4 linked regions of the Arabidopsis thaliana genome follow. The protein of the gene in region 1 binds, or shares a complex with, the protein of each later gene. Each region holds a gene or a part of one and is shown in the gene's direction. Other genes may lie near its edges. The genes, in order: NdhN, PnsB1, NdhS and NdhO.

The links.
Region 2: NdhN (region 1) and PnsB1 share a complex: the UniProt entries of both Arabidopsis thaliana proteins name them as parts of the chloroplast NDH complex.
Region 3: NdhN (region 1) and NdhS share a complex: the UniProt entries of both Arabidopsis thaliana proteins name them as parts of the chloroplast NDH complex.
Region 4: NdhN (region 1) and NdhO share a complex: the UniProt entries of both Arabidopsis thaliana proteins name them as parts of the chloroplast NDH complex.

Annotation. Positions count from the first base shown.
Region 1 is NC_003076.8:23,560,044-23,563,899, reverse strand, and holds NdhN (oxidoreductases, acting on NADH or NADPH, quinone or similar compound as acceptor), read left to right. Parts: upstream 1-1,898; 5' UTR 1,899-1,970; coding exon 1,971-2,339; intron 2,340-2,421; coding exon 2,422-2,538; coding exon of another isoform or gene 2,539-2,544; exon of another isoform or gene 2,545-2,603; coding exon 2,604-2,689; intron 2,690-2,767; coding exon 2,768-2,825; 3' UTR 2,826-3,332; downstream 3,333-3,856. Other genes in the region: ABCB25 (ABC transporter of the mitochondrion 3), read right to left, coding at 1-42, 367-474, 621-723, 821-864, 945-1,006, 1,084-1,732; EMB3143 (YCF54), read right to left, coding at 3,528-3,720, 3,821-3,856. UniProt on the Arabidopsis thaliana protein: NDH shuttles electrons from NAD(P)H:plastoquinone, via FMN and iron-sulfur (Fe-S) centers, to quinones in the photosynthetic chain and possibly in a chloroplast respiratory chain.
Region 2 is NC_003070.9:5,487,391-5,491,898, forward strand, and holds PnsB1 (NDH-dependent cyclic electron flow 1), read left to right. Parts: upstream 1-1,754; 5' UTR 1,755-1,923; coding exon 1,924-2,348; intron 2,349-2,446; coding exon 2,447-2,597; intron 2,598-2,684; coding exon 2,685-2,875; intron 2,876-2,947; coding exon 2,948-3,205; intron 3,206-3,284; coding exon 3,285-3,390; intron 3,391-3,476; coding exon 3,477-3,562; intron 3,563-3,640; coding exon 3,641-3,809; 3' UTR 3,810-3,913; downstream 3,914-4,508. Other genes in the region: AT1G15970 (DNA glycosylase superfamily protein), read right to left, coding at 1-53, 642-1,104; CNGC7 (cyclic nucleotide gated channel 7), read right to left, coding at 3,914-4,508. UniProt on the Arabidopsis thaliana protein: NDH shuttles electrons from NAD(P)H:plastoquinone, via FMN and iron-sulfur (Fe-S) centers, to quinones in the photosynthetic chain and possibly in a chloroplast respiratory chain.
Region 3 is NC_003075.7:12,419,883-12,423,208, reverse strand, and holds NdhS (NAD(P)H-quinone oxidoreductase subunit S), read left to right. Parts: upstream 1-1,744; 5' UTR 1,745-1,863; coding exon 1,864-2,616; 3' UTR 2,617-2,795; downstream 2,796-3,326. Other genes in the region: AT4G23895 (Pleckstrin homology (PH) domain-containing protein), read right to left, coding at 8-113, 199-326; AT4G23885 (uncharacterized protein), read right to left, coding at 2,969-2,986, 3,171-3,316. UniProt on the Arabidopsis thaliana protein: NDH shuttles electrons from NAD(P)H:plastoquinone, via FMN and iron-sulfur (Fe-S) centers, to quinones in the photosynthetic chain and possibly in a chloroplast respiratory chain.
Region 4 is NC_003070.9:28,129,317-28,132,914, reverse strand, and holds NdhO (NAD(P)H:plastoquinone dehydrogenase complex subunit O), read left to right. Parts: upstream 1-1,837; 5' UTR 1,838-1,894; coding exon 1,895-2,117; intron 2,118-2,211; coding exon 2,212-2,267; intron 2,268-2,357; coding exon 2,358-2,423; intron 2,424-2,498; coding exon 2,499-2,540; intron 2,541-2,617; coding exon 2,618-2,677; intron 2,678-2,773; coding exon 2,774-2,803; 3' UTR 2,804-3,087; downstream 3,088-3,598. Other genes in the region: ARR15 (response regulator 15), read left to right, coding at 205-334, 433-509, 718-795, 888-958, 1,061-1,325; AT1G74875 (F-box protein), read left to right, coding at 3,170-3,254. UniProt on the Arabidopsis thaliana protein: NDH shuttles electrons from NAD(P)H:plastoquinone, via FMN and iron-sulfur (Fe-S) centers, to quinones in the photosynthetic chain and possibly in a chloroplast respiratory chain.

The DNA of each region.
Region 1 (3,856 bases):
ATTATCAGCTTTGTTCATAGCCTTTCTAAACTTGGTTCGCCACTGGATAAAATAAATAAAACCGTGAGCAAAGCGTTTGACACCAAAAAGATTTGTAACAAGATAATGAAAGTTGAAGAGAATGTATGAAGACAACTATCCTTCTATACATCATCAAACCTAATATCACAACTAGAATGATTTAAGCCGATCCAAAGAGTTGATACAGTTAAGATTAGAGAAGCTTAGTAACGAATTCCAGAACAATGTATACTATAGTAGTTTCTTAAATAAAATATCACAGTTATTGCTGGATTATCATGATAATAACGCAAGTATTGCATTATAGTTGGCATTGAAAAGAGAATACCGAAAAAGGCACAGTACCTGTGTCACAGCTAATGTGAAAACGATATATGATCCAACGGAGAGAGAAGTAATCCAGGCAAAAGCAGCTCCAAACTTGTATGCCAGTATACCTGATACCATAGATATCTGAAAGATACATATTAATTACGTCGAGTGTTTTTAGAGACGAATGAATAGTGAAATCCAAATATGAATGAGCAACTGCCAATTATTCAAAATGAGAAAAAAAACAATGATCATGAGAAAGCACCAAGTGGTCAGACAAGCTTTACCTCCAATATGGTAGGAACAACATTGAAAACCATAGCTGAGAGGATAAAATTTATTGCACGGCTACCACGATCAATAATCCTGTTCAAGCCGCCTGTTTCTCGACTGGACATAAGCAATTAAGTAAGGAAGTTATGATGAGATGAATCTAAGATGGAATGAGCGAGACTACTCACAAGAGTAAGAGAGGAGAGATAGATACCTTAGGTGGTAACGAAGGTCAAGATCATGTAAATGTGAGAACACCTGCAAAGCGACCATATGAAATTGATTCATACATTAAAATATCTCTATCGACAAGATAGTTTAGAGCAGCAGCAGCATACCTTTCTAGAAACAGATCGTATTGTTCGGAGAGCTACCTTAGAGAACACAGCAGTACGAAGTTCTGCGATGATGAAAAGTAACAACCAAGAGTGAAAAGTGCATTCTTTTTTAAAGAAAACTAGAGCTATTGAGAGTTACCATTAAAAGCAGAAGAACCCGTCCGAGCAATCCCGTATCCAATGAGAACAGCAGCAGGAGTAGCAAAAACAGTAAGAAGAGTTGGGTTTGTAGCAGCGAAGGTGGTAAGTGAGGCTCCAGTACCGGTAGCTGAAGCAAGCCAATCAACAGCTAATTTGAAGAGGAAAGGGACTTGGACATTCAAGACCTTAGCACCCACGAGAAAACCCAAAGCAGCGATGACCCTGAAACGGAATTCTGGATTGTCTCTCATCCACAAATAGCCAGCAAGCGTACGGAGAATCTTCATGTCAGCCATAGCTGAGTCTGAATCCGACGAGGTTGTCTTGATTTCCTTAGTCTTGGTGGTGGTTTGGTCTGGATTGGGAGTAGAAGTCGAGAAGAGACGACCATTAAGCATTGAACTCCGTTGAACAAAACGAATTGGGGATGGTGATGGTGACGGGGATGGTGAGTTATCTGAGAGGAAGGCATTGATAACCGGAGATGTTCGAATTGAGTTACGTCTGATGTAATTGGAGAAACCATTATGAAGACGATAATCAGAGCGAAGACTGTAGGAAAAAGATGGGATTTTGGGTTGAGGTTGAAGATTAACGCGACAGAGTAAGAGCCCAGGAGCCCTAACGAATCGAGATCCTCTCGACATCCCTTCTTCTCCGAAAGTTTCACAGACTGAATTTTGCTCCGGCGAGCTAGCTAACAATGTCACGACGTTCGGCGGTGCTTAATGGGCCTAATAAATAAAGCCCAATACATTTTAAGCCCATTAATGTCTATCCCTTTGTGGAGTGAGTCGTCGTTTCTCCACCATTCTTTCATCATCATCGTCGTCAAGCAATGTTTATTATGAGCTACTTCCACAAGAAGTCATTGTTAGTAAAGAAATGGGAAGCCGTGCAATATGTATACAACGTGTGGCACCACCGTGTTTTGAAGCCTCGCAAGTGAAGAAGATCAAAACAGTTGGTTCCTTTTTGGTGAATACTAGGAGTAAGAGAAGAAGAAGCACTGGTGTGAAATGTAGCAGCATAGCTGACTACATCGGAGGTGACTTGGTGAAGCCGGACATCGGACAATGGCTTCAAGACGTGGAAGAACACAAGGCAATCGCCATTTACGCTCCTCATGAGGGTGGTTACGAAGGTCGTTATCTTAACCGTCTCAAAATGCAGGGCTACTACTTTCTTGACATCTCTGCTCGTGGCCTTGGTGACCCTGAGACTACCCTTCTCAAGAACTACCCTGTTTGCCCTGTATGTCTACTTTCATCCATCTTCTACTTTAATCTTGTTTCAATATAATTTTGTGTGAACCATGTATCTTCTCTTCTTTTAGGCTCATCTTGGGAAACAACCTATAGCAAGATGGTATTATCCACCAGAAGTTGATTACAGGCTCGCTGCTCTTCCCCCTAGTGCCAAGGGTCTTGTTGTATGGGTCCTCGAAGCAAAGGTTTGAGTTTCTCTCATTTGATCTGTTCTCCCACATGCTCTTTCTCATATTTCCATTTCACTCAGGTCCTCTCAAAATCGGAGCTTCAATTTCTCGCTTTACTTCCCTCTCTTCGTCCTAACGTCAGGGTTATTGCTGAATGTGGCAACTGGTGAGTATATCATTCCTTACCATACACACTAATCATCTATGTTTGCAATTTGCATGACCATTACCAATTCCCCTGCAGGAGAAAGTTCGTGTGGAAGCCTCTAGCAGAAATTGCAAATCTAGCTGCACAAGAGTAACTTAATGGCACAAGTGGAGCTACCAGTGTATAGTTTTTCATGAATGCATCTCCCGCAAGTGTAGCAATACTCATCCCATAGTAAAAGTTAAAATCTGTATTTGTAACTTGGTAGTATATTCCCATGGAGTAGTTAAAGATAATTTCTGACTCTGCTTTGTCACAAATAAAAGTATGTATAATCAGTAAGATTGATAGGACACGCTTAGATACAGACTACAGAGCAATCCAGAAGTACAACATAGAACACTTGATTCAGCAGAAACATGTGCAACTTACTTTGATCAACTCCAGTCACTAGACCTAACGAGTAACAACATGTTCCGAGTCCACAAATCGTTTTGAAAACCAAAAAATTCAGATCTTTTGCAAAGTTCTTCAGCGAGTAGGCATATTGCCCTCCTGTGACTAGACAACTTAATACCTAGAGCTTTAACTGAAGGTTCTTGCCAATATTCTCGTGAGAAATCAACAAATATGGTCACCCTTAAGACTTTGATGGAGCTAAATGTGAGGATGCTTTTTGTTGTCTAGTTCTATGCTTAACCTTGAGTCAGTGACGTATCAAACAGGCAACTTTGAGTAATAGAAGCTACACTAGGAAAGATATAGACTTGGATAATGAGCTCAGTAGTACAAAACTTTGAAGCACTAAGACAAAGCTGAGATTGGAGAATGCAAAAACAAGACAAAAAGCAAAGTTCTATACTGCAGATTCTTGGGTTACTTTAGGCAAGAAGGTATCCCACCATCCAGGTTCATACTTGGGGTATGGCGCCACCCAATTTTTAGGCTTATCGAACTCAAGAGTGGTAGGATTGGAGGCCAAAGCTTCATCAAGAGAGGTAGCTTCAAAGGAATCATACAGAACACGATCCAATCTTAACTTCATAAACCTGCCATAAAACAACAAATTGCAAAACACAAATGCGTTAGATAAGGAGGGAGTGAGGAACGTAATTTTGAAAAGAGAGAGATTGGGATTAGGGTTCTAACGTGATCCAGGTGCCATTGGTGGAAACAAGAGCAACA
Region 2 (4,508 bases), on another chromosome or scaffold:
GTCATGTACAGGAACTCCCCATTCTTCGTCATGGAAAGCAACATAGCACGGGTCTTTACAACGTAGAAAAACGCAACATTATTAGTCAATTTACAGCAGAGAAAGATATGAAGCATGAGAGAACAACAAAGAATAATGGAAAGTGCCTCTTGGCATGGAAACATTTATGCTCATTAGTATAGAGAATCCAGAAAACGCTGTTTGGCTTACACTAAAAGCATAAACGAAGTGGATCTATCAGCTAATCAAAACATCCTTCATCTAAATTTCATGGACACTGAGAAGTTAAAATATTTATAAGAGAACTTCAGGACAAGCTACTTCATAAGTTATGCAACATAGCAAATGATCTACACAATGCTCACTGAATAAAATACATAGCAATTGAAACATTTTGTTGGCCATTGAATTACTTAATATTCACATACAGAAGAACATAATTAGATCAAACAAAAAACACTAGCTCCTTGTCTCAATTCAGTCCCATTTGATTCAACTAGATAAGAACTTTATCATCTCACACAATCAGGCTAAACTCAATCTCACATTCACATTTTCACTCATTTCATTTATTTGAATGCATCTAAAGTCAAAAGCTCTCTCACTATGCAATGTGTGATAGGTGAAAGTTTGATGCTTACCAGCTTTAGGTGTGATCCAAGCACACCTTTTACGACCATCAGCGAAGCAATCACCAGAAACCTTCTCTTCTTCTTTCCCAACACTCAGCTTCCTTGTAGAAGAGACAGACCCACTTCGCCTCACAACCTTCTTACAGCTCGAAGAAGACGCCACGCTCAAAGGCGATGACTCACACGAAGACGAAGCATCAGAGGAATACGAAGCAGTCATTGAAGCACTATTCTTTCTCAAAATCGAAGAGCAAAGAGACGAGCATTGCTTCAGAGTCGTCCTTGGTGAAGCCGGAGTAGTTGGTTTCTTCGCTTTCTCATCTTTTGAGTCGATGATGGTCTTCTCCATCATCGGCTTCTCCAGTTTCATCCCCGGTGGTTTCCTCTGCAGCTTGTTCCCGGTAGGACCAAGAACTGATCGGAACTCTCGCTCATCGGAATTTACGGACCGGAATCTAGGAGGAACCGACATTGACCCGATTCTCACAAAAAACTGCTTTTTGATTTCACAGATCTATCACTGGATCACACAACAACAACAAAATTGCTATTTCCAACAGTCTCGAAACTTATTTCAAGAGATTATATATCGGAAGGCCTAGACTTTACAGCTACATTAGCACCAAAAATGAAACTTTTTTGTCACCGCTAAATATCTCATTTTTAGGAATCTTCTAGTAAAACTAAACCAAGTTGCTTGCTGTGTTCACGAGAAAAGCAAGGTTAGAAACAATGAGCAACAAAATAAAATCTTTGAACAATGAAGAAAAAAAAAGCTTTTGACTTCAGAAAAACCCAGAAAAAAAAAAGAAAGAAAGAAGCTTTTTCTGATCGACGACGAAACGAATCAAATCGAGAGAGAGAGACGAGGAGAAAAGGTCATTCACCAGTCACGACTTAACACGTCATCGTTTGGTTCTTCTGCTTTTTCTGTTCTTTTGTTCCTCGACCCGACAATGAAACGGGTCCTTATTGCTCGACCCGACAAGTTAAATGGTTTAATTGCTTACTGTAATCAGTTGGTTAATGCTTCTGAGTTCTGAGATTAGGAATGTTTCTTTGCTCGTGCGTATCAACCAATGTAAAGACAAAAGTTTTAATTAATCGAACAGAGAATAATTTCTGGAATTGCCATAACCAAAATAAATAAATTAAATGCTAAGTTTTCTTCTATGGTCGGAAAATTGCCACAAAAGGGACCCACTTATCCTAAGTTCCTACAGAGATCTGTTTTCTTTCACAACATTTAAAAATCCAAACTTTTCTTTCTTTGGCTCAAAAAAACCTTCCAATGGCTTCTTCACTTCCTCTGTTACCCAAACCCATTTCCCCATTCTTTAAAACGCCGCCGTTTTCTACCTCCAAACCACTCGTCTTCCTCAACTTTCAAACTCGTCTTACGTCGAGATCTTCCGATGTATCGGTCAATCTCAAGAAGAAGAATAATCCGTGGCTCGACCCGTTTGATAGCGGTGAAGACCCGGATAACGAATACGGGTCCTTGTTTGCCGACGGAAAACAAGACGAGGATCCAAGACCACCGGATAATCCTGATAACCCTTACGGCTTCTTGAAGTTTCCAAAGGGTTACACCGTCGAGCTTGCTTCTTTACCGTTGAAAATCAGAGGAGATGTTAGACGATGTTGCTGCGTTATCTCCGGTGGCGTTTACGAGAATCTACTCTTTTTCCCGACTATTCAGCTAATCAAAGACAGGTAATAAAAGTATAAGACTCTGTCTCCGATTCGACATTTTTTTAAAACCTTAAACTGAAATGCAGAACATTGTCCGTACGTTTCTGTTGTTTTGTAAGGTATCCTGGTGTTCAGGTAGATATATTAACGACTGAAAGAGGAAAACAAACATACGAGCTAAACAAAAACGTGAGATGGGCCAATGTGTATGATCCGGATGATCATTGGCCTGAACCAGCTGAATACACAGACATGATCGGACTCCTCAAAGTTTGTAACTTTCAAATATTTCAACGTTTTTTCTATCTTTCCTTTATCAGACTGCTTAGTTAACTTTTCTTTTAAGTCATGTTTCAGGGAAGGTACTATGACATGGTTCTGTCCACGAAGCTAGCAGGGTTAGGCCACGCAGCGTTCTTGTTCATGACAACGGCTCGAGACAGGGTTAGTTACATTTACCCGAATGTTAACTCTGCAGGAGCTGGTCTGATGCTGTCCGAGACCTTTACAGCAGAAAATACCAACCTTTCAGAATTAGGTTATAGCATGTGAGTTCCTTGAAACCGAAGAAACTGCAGGTTTTTTTATCGCCTGTCTAAATTGACTGTTGATGGTTTCAGGTATACTCAGATGGAAGATTGGTTAGGAAGACCGTTTAGGAGTGTTCCAAGGACTCCTCTGTTGCCACTTAGGGTATCGATTTCACGGAAAGTGAAAGAGGTTGTGGCTGCAAAGTATAGGAATGCTGGAGCAGTGACGGGGAAGTTTATAGTGATTCATGGTATTGAATCAGATTCTAAGGCATCAATGCAATCAAAAGGAGATGCTGATAGTTTACTTTCACTTGAAAAATGGGCTAAGATTATAAAGGGTGTAAGGTAATTATTACACACCTTCAAAATGTGAATTTTTTGCTTAGTTTGAAATTCTCTGAGATATGATTGTGAACAATGCCAGGGGATTCAAGCCGGTCTTTGTGATTCCACATGAGAAAGAAAGAGAAAACGTTGAAGATTTTGTGGGTGATGATACATCTATAGTGTTCATCACAACACCAGGACAGGTATGCATGCTTATCTGTCTGTATTTGTTATGAACAAAGTTGAATTCACTGATCTTACTTTGATTCCTTTTCTTGAGCTTACTTAGTTGGCTGCTCTGATAAACGATTCTGCTGGAGTCATCGCAACAAACACAGCTGCGATTCAACTAGCTAATGCGCGAGACAAACCATGGTGAATACCTGAGTAATATAAAGAGTACTGATTCAATGTTTTCAAGAACTAACATGTGTGTGCTTCTTTTTCTTCCAGTATTGGGTTGTTCTCTTCAGAAGAGAAAGGGAAGCTCTTTGTACCGTATGCAGAAGAGAAGAGTAACTGTGTAATTATTGCTTCGAAGACTGGAAAACTAGCAGATATCGACATTGGAACTGTTAAAAATGCAATGCAGGTCTTTGAAGGATCATTGGCTCTCGTGTAGATAACTTTACAGTTTCTGAAACAAGTTCTATATATAGAGCATTTATGTGTATAAATCAGTTATGTAGTCTCTGTTCTGATGTTGGCCTCTCATCAAGAATTGGATTATTCAGCATCAAAATCAGGTTCCGGAGGCTTTTGCAGATTTATCAAGGTCTTTGAACTCTCTGAGCTCCTAAGTCTGTGCCCTTTCAATGCATTAGCAGCAAATCTTGATGCAAATATCGTTGAACGCAGTCTAGAAGAAGACTCACTTCTTGTGATAACCATAGGCCTCTTGTCACTCTCATCATCATATTCATCTTCATAACCCAATTCTTCTTCTTTTTCTTCAATCCGTCTCAATTCAGCGTTTTTCCTTCTTGAATAGCGACGCCAAGCAGCTTGGATGAAGCAAGAAGCCCAAGTTCTCCATTGCTGAGAGTAAAACCTAAATGTTTGTTGAACCTGTCGACTATGAAGTCTCCTAAACTGACTTGCTACAAACTTCAGCTCTTCAGCTTCAAGAGCGAAAGCCTCTACTTCAGTCAGAGCCTTCACTGTTCTTGTGGAAGAAGGTAAGTTTGAGCCTGCTTTAGGGTCAAGAGCCCATGTCAGAAGCTCTTCACCACAAAAGTCTCCTTCTTTTAACAACCCTCTGTTGAAGAAACCGCTTCTTCCCCCATCTGTTGTTACACTTTCTAACCGGCCTCGGATTATG
Region 3 (3,326 bases), on another chromosome or scaffold:
ATGGAACCTTCTCTTGACCATCTGAAACCCAAGGCAGACGGCGAAGAGTGAACAAATTCAACATAGTTGCTGCTCTTTTCAGGTTTCTGCGAGTCCGTGACTGGCTATAAGGCCTACTCTAAACAAAACCACCCGAAAAAACAATTCATTTCAGCTCAGAATTTCCCTTCTTAGCATATTTATTCGCTAACAATTTACCTCAGAGAACTATCGTCCTTTGGCTGCGAAGATGATGGAGTATCGTGCTGAGAAGATTCTGCTGTGGGACTAGGAGCACTAAAGTGATCAGGTAATATGTTTAGCTTCTTAGGAGTACCATCATCCATGAATTGAAACGACTCCAGAACCTTCCACTAGAAAATGAATCAAAGCTTAGCCAGAGATGAAACTACTCTAAAACTCTCAGCTTGTAGTACATTGATTCCCCAAAAGAAGTCGAAAAAATCACATAGTTAAAAACTTTTTTGTCCATTCAAGAGATGTCATCTGAGCATGATCTAATCTAGATTCTGATATGAGACAAACTCCTATATGAACTTTAGCATTCCATGAACATTATTTAATCTCCCTAAATGACTTGTCTCTCAGTCTCTATCTTATGCTTATTCTTATCATAGATCTAATCCACAAGTATGTATGTATCATCACTTGGAGAGATATATAACTACTAAAAATCCTTATTCCTCACTGAGGATCAAACATACCTCTTTATATATCTTTCAACGCCGAATTTTACAATCCCACTTCACCAGAAATTTTGATATCCCTTGTGAGAAATCAGCTCGCTGTAAAAGAAAAACAAAGTTCAGCTTCTACAAAAAGAAAGAGGACGAAAATGAACTCTTTCTTTTTCCCATTCTAGATTTTATTAGCTCAAATTAAAAACAACAGAATCGAATTTTCTGGAAACCCTAACAAAATACAAAAACATTGAGCAGAAATAGAAGCTCGGAAGTCGGAATCGAATGACGGGAACCTCGAATAATTTGAAAAAATTGACTGAAGAGAAGATCGAGACCTTGTTTTTACCTGATCGAATGTGATCTCTGTATTCAAGGGAAAGTGTTTACGCAATTGGTTTTTTGGTTGAGTGCTTACTGCTTCAGCAGGAAGAAGATGTTGGGTTTGGGAATTTTACTCATAAAGAAACTTTAAATTTGGTACCAAAAAGACGCTTTTATCCCCCGGTTAGGTTGCGTCAGCCAGCTCTACCCACATGGGCATTGCTGCAGATATTACAAGTTTTGTAATTTGTTAACGAATGTTTGTAAACTTTTGACTAATCTTATCTACAATATAATGAATTTATCGAATCAATGTAAAAGTTGTTTTCATTCATGCTTAATACATTAATTGATCAAAGTTGCCAACTAAGTATTTGGTGATGCCGATGAGTGTAAAGGACAGCCTAAGACAAAAGTGTATGTCTAATTATGATTTGGGAGTATGGGATTCCAATTATTAATGTCGTTGACCCAAATGATTTATCTTCTTCTTGCTGCTTTTTTCTTAATAAACAAACAAATCCACATTATTAGCATTTAGCAATATGTTTAATTACATTACCATTGTTTTTAATCTAGGCCCATATCTCTTAAGAATATTCAAACTTGGTCCAGGTTAAACTTATGACAAAGCCCAAATGTTCCTACTCTTTCTCCTAAATCATTATTCCAAACACCGGTTACGCATTAACCGGTTCAGGTCCACTGGTAATTTGGAAATAGATAGAACTCATCTAACTGAAATCATGATATGTGGTCATTATAACAAGCGAATCAATCACACGCTTCTTCCTTCCTCTTCCATCTTCTTCATATCTCCCTTAGTCACCTCTACTCTACTCTGCAGGCAAAAATAGTTATGGCGACTTCTTCGATCACTATCCCGACCATTAGAACTCCGATTCATCGATCAAAATTTCTAGGCCAAACACATCAATTTTCAACTGTAAACCGGTCGGTTTTCCCGCCTCCAAAACAGCAGTCAAAACTGTATCAAGTAAAGGCCATGGGTAAATTCAATCTATGGGAAGTGATGGGAGGAAGAGGATTATGCAACGGAGAGAAAGGTATTGAGAAGGAGCTCCAGAGGAACATTGAAGACGAGCAAGAGACATCAAAGGCTGAGAACAACGAGACAGAGAGAGAGAGCGATGACAGTAACTTGTCTTTTAAAGTACCTGAAGATGGTTTCGAGAAAGAGATGATGGGTCTCACAGGAGGATTTCCCGGTGGCGAAAAGGGTTTAAAAACGTTTATCGAAAAAAATCCACCACCTCCTCCACCACCACCACCTGCAAAACAAGGAAGCGATGCATCCGCGGTTGCTACAGATAAGAAGCCGAAAGCGCCCAAGCTACCCCTTCTCATGCCGGGGATGATTGCTATAGTCAAGAACCAGAACAGTCCGTATCACATGTATTGTGGAATTGTGCAGAGGATCACTGATGGAAAAGCTGGTGTCTTGTTCGAAGGAGGAAACTGGGACCGTCTCATTACTTTCAGGCTTGAAGAGCTTGAACGAAGAGAAAAAGGTCCACCGGGTAAGAATCCAAAGTCTTGTATTCTCGAGCCTCTTATCGAACAGATGCAAAAGGAAGAGGCAGCACCATAAGTGATCTTCTCTTCTCTGTATGTAAGTTCCTGTGAATGTATATGTAACGTACCTTTGCGTTTTAGGCTACAATATTTCTGACTGGTTCTAAAAGAGCTTCATCATGTGATATAAAAAAAAGAATAAACGATGAATTTCAATCATAAAGCACTTAATAATAGAGATTCAAATGCACTCAATCAATGATGAATCAGTATAGAAGTTAAAAACTGCAATGGAGTAGTTTTATTGTTATCATTGGTTGTTGTAAACATCAACCATATCAGTTTCTTCTTGACTATCGAGTATATTCTGTAAATGGTAAAGATGAGAAGTGATCCACCATTCTTGTCAACAGATCATGTTGAAATGATCAGATGCAGCCTCCCAACTGTAAAAAAAATTCAGAAAAGGATAAGGAAGTTAGAAACAGAACAATATTATTAAATCATGAAAAGGGTTCTCTCAACTTGTAATTGGTCACATAATTATAACTTAGTAGTTGGTCACACATTATACTGTTAGATACATGTTCATCTAAGTGTTGTTATACATGTCAAAATGAAGTTACATACCAAAATGGCTTCCATTTCTTCGTTTGAAACTGGCGTGCGCTTTGGCTGCGATGATGCCTTCCCGCCAGTAGTCTTTTGGATGTTGTTCAAATTGGAGAAGAACAATGTATCAGCTTCATTTGCCACCTGACTCTTTCCCTCTGAAGCTGCAATGCC
Region 4 (3,598 bases), on another chromosome or scaffold:
TCTGTGTATTTCCTTAAATCTCCTCCTCTTTCTCTTTCCTATTTATTTATGTATCTCACTCACCGCTTCTGCCTCTCTCTCTCTCTCTCTCTTATTTATGTAACTCCTCGTCTTCCTTCTTCACATTGATTTCTGCGTCCTTTGACGTTCAAACTTTAAACGTTTCTTCATCTGTTTTGTTGTTTACTTTCCCGAGAGAAAACAATGGCTCTCAGAGATTTATCTTCTTCTTTATCTTCTTCTTCTTCACCGGAGTTACATGTTCTTGCCGTTGATGATAGTTTCGTGGATCGTAAAGTTATTGAGAGATTGCTTAAGATCTCTGCTTGTAAAGGTAAAAGGCAAAACTGTTTCTCTTTACGTTTTCTGCTTTTCTTTTGTTTGGTTTCTGATTCGTTTTTTTGGATAAATTTGGTGGGTTTCTTTATATAGTGACGACTGTTGAGAGTGGGACTAGGGCTCTGCAGTATCTTGGTTTAGATGGAGACAATGGATCTTCTGGTCTTAAGGTATATATTCATTCATTTCTTAGAATCTCTCTGTTTTCTAGCAAAATCAACCCTAGACGTTGAAACTTGAAGTGTTCTTATGCTGGTTTGGCTCCCAAGAAATCTAAGGTTTCACAATGTGGATCAAAAGTTTAACCTTTAGAGGATGATTTTATTATTTGTTTATTGATGCCGTTTATATGAACAATTTTGCAAATTTTGATAACAGGATTTGAAAGTGAACTTGATAGTGACGGATTATTCAATGCCGGGACTAACAGGATATGAACTCCTCAAGAAGATCAAAGTAAATTTCTATTTTGTGTCATTTATTAGAGCAAGATTTGAATAAGCTCTTCTCGTGTTTTCCTTACAAAAATTCTGTTGTATATTTGCCAGGAGTCTTCAGCACTCAGAGAAATCCCAGTAGTGATAATGTCTTCTGAGAACATACAACCTCGTATAGAACAGTAAGTCACTATAGCTAAAGATACAAAACTGAATCAATGGATCTTAACACTGTAATCTGATTTTTTTGTCTATCCTCTCTTTTGTTGTTGTTGTTGTTGTAGATGTATGATAGAAGGAGCAGAGGAGTTTTTGCTAAAACCGGTGAAATTAGCTGATGTGAAGCGTTTAAAAGAACTTATAATGAGAGGTGGTGAAGCTGAAGAAGGAAAAACCAAAAAACTTAGTCCTAAGAGAATCCTACAAAACGACATTGATTCATCTCCATCATCATCATCAACATCTTCATCATCGTCGTCTCATGATGTTTCCTCCCTTGATGACGACACTCCATCTTCCAAGAGGATCAAATTAGAGTCTAGGGGTTAAATGATTGAGCTCAATCTTTTCTCACGTTTTCTCTTGATTTCCTTGTGTAATATACATTATTTTTGATATATGCAACTATGTAAGTCTAGATTCTAATGCTCACCTTATTACTCTGTTTTTTTTTTTTGTTAAAACAAAAGGAGATCAATGTGAATATGATTTAAACAATTTTATAAAATTAAATACTTTGCCTACAGTATATATATTGTTTCCTACTTCACAACCAGATCAATTAGATTCTATAATGTAACATATAATTTAAAAGTACACGTAAAAAGATTTTGTATATGATCTTCCATGTGACATACACGATTTCACTTGTATGTGTTTATAATTCATAAACTTTCAAGCATCAGAAAACAAAAAAAAACGAATATAATCTTTGTTGGAATACATTATCTATTACTATATTCCTAGTTGTATAGCAGAGGAAACTTGTTTGCACTTACGTGGCATCTTATGATTGGTTCAGTGATGTCTGTTTTAGACCGTTGAGAGACTTGGATACCATTGCGGTCTTATCCCGAAACTCCAAGAACACATAATTTTTTTTCTTGGTGGTCTCTCCAATGGCTTTCTCTGCGACTGTGTCTCAGCTTTCTTCTCTTTCAACCATCTCCTCTTCATTACCAATTTCTTCTAGAAGACTCCCTCATCGATCTCTTCCTCAATTCACAGTCAAAGCAGAAGCAGAGAAAGAGAAACAGAGCACACAGGGCAAGTCTGATGGGGAAGCATCACCAGCTGCAACCAAAACCCCTAAAACCCTCCCCAAGAAACCGGTTTACTCGAGTCTGTTCCCTCACTTTTGTTTCTAAGTGTTGAATCCAATAACAGATTTTTGATAATTCTTTTGAATTTCTGTTTCTGGTGGATGAGAAAACAGTGAAGAAGGGCCAAATCGTTCGTGTGGAAAAAGAGAAGTACCTCAACAGCATCAATGTATAGTCGAAATCTTTCCCAGTTTTGAAGCTGCTTCTTCAAAAATCTGTTTCTGAAACTTTTGTTTTGCTACATTTGTTGAAATTACAGTACTTATCAGTTGGACATCCTCCTTTCTACAAAGGACTTGATTACATATACGAAGATCGCGGCGAGGTATAACACAATCCCTTTTGAAAATAAATCACAAGAGATTTCAAGCTTATTGAACAAGTAATCTAAATCTTGCAGGTCTTGGACCTTCGTGTCTTTGAGACAGGAGAGTATGCACTTGTAAGTCAGTCTCCACACAAATTGTTTATTCTGTTTCATAAGATGAGCTAATGGATTGTGAATTTTGGAGACTTTAGGTTGGATGGGTTGGTATCCCCACCGCACCAGCTTGGCTCCCAACAGATATGCTCATCAAGGTACTCATAATTTTCTCAGTACATCAACAATACGTAGCATTGTCTTGATGTCAAGTCATGATTGTTTCTGTGTTCTTGGTTTTTGTTCCACCGCAGTGTGAGAAACTTGTTTACGAGCGAATGTAGAGTCAAGAAGGTTCCAAGAAGAATCCTTTGGAATGCAACTGATATACCAAGGATTGTGTTAAGCTGAGATGAACGATAACAATGGCGCACCATCATGATCATGTGTTCAAGAGTTTGACAAAGTATCAACGTTACAATTAGTTACAAAAACTGTTGTGGAGTGTGGAATATGTCATCAGACTCCTATAATAAGAATGCAGCTTCAGTAAACGGATGATGGTAATTTTATCTCATCGATCTCCCAACATAAACTCATTTCTCACAGCTTCATAAAATTTCCTCTGGTTTTGTCTTTGGCTTCCACTTTCCGAAAACCGGAAACTTCTTCATCATCACAAATATAACTACTGACCTAATGGACGGATGATGGTAAATTTAGGTGCTCTAAACGACGAAGACAAGCGGAAGTGTGCCAACATGTTTCAAATTCACCTCGTAATCAATGTATTATGTATGTGACTAGGAGAGTAACAAGACACAAAGCCAATCTCATCTCTCACAACTTCATTAAACAATCCTTTCCTCTGCTTTGTCTTTGACTTCCATTTTCTGATAAATTCTTCATCATCACAAAAATACTATTGACGTGATGGTGATGTTAGTGGGTTTCCTATGATTTCTCCTTTTGGGTTTTCCCATTGGTGAACGGTGAATGAGAGAATCTAGGGTTTGGATTTGTTCTCCATACAAGGATTTAATCCCATTATTATGTATTTTTCCTTTTTTTTTTTAAAGCTTTTTTAGATTTTATTTATTTTTAATCTTTTGGCTTATTCTAAACTTTTGTATTACTTC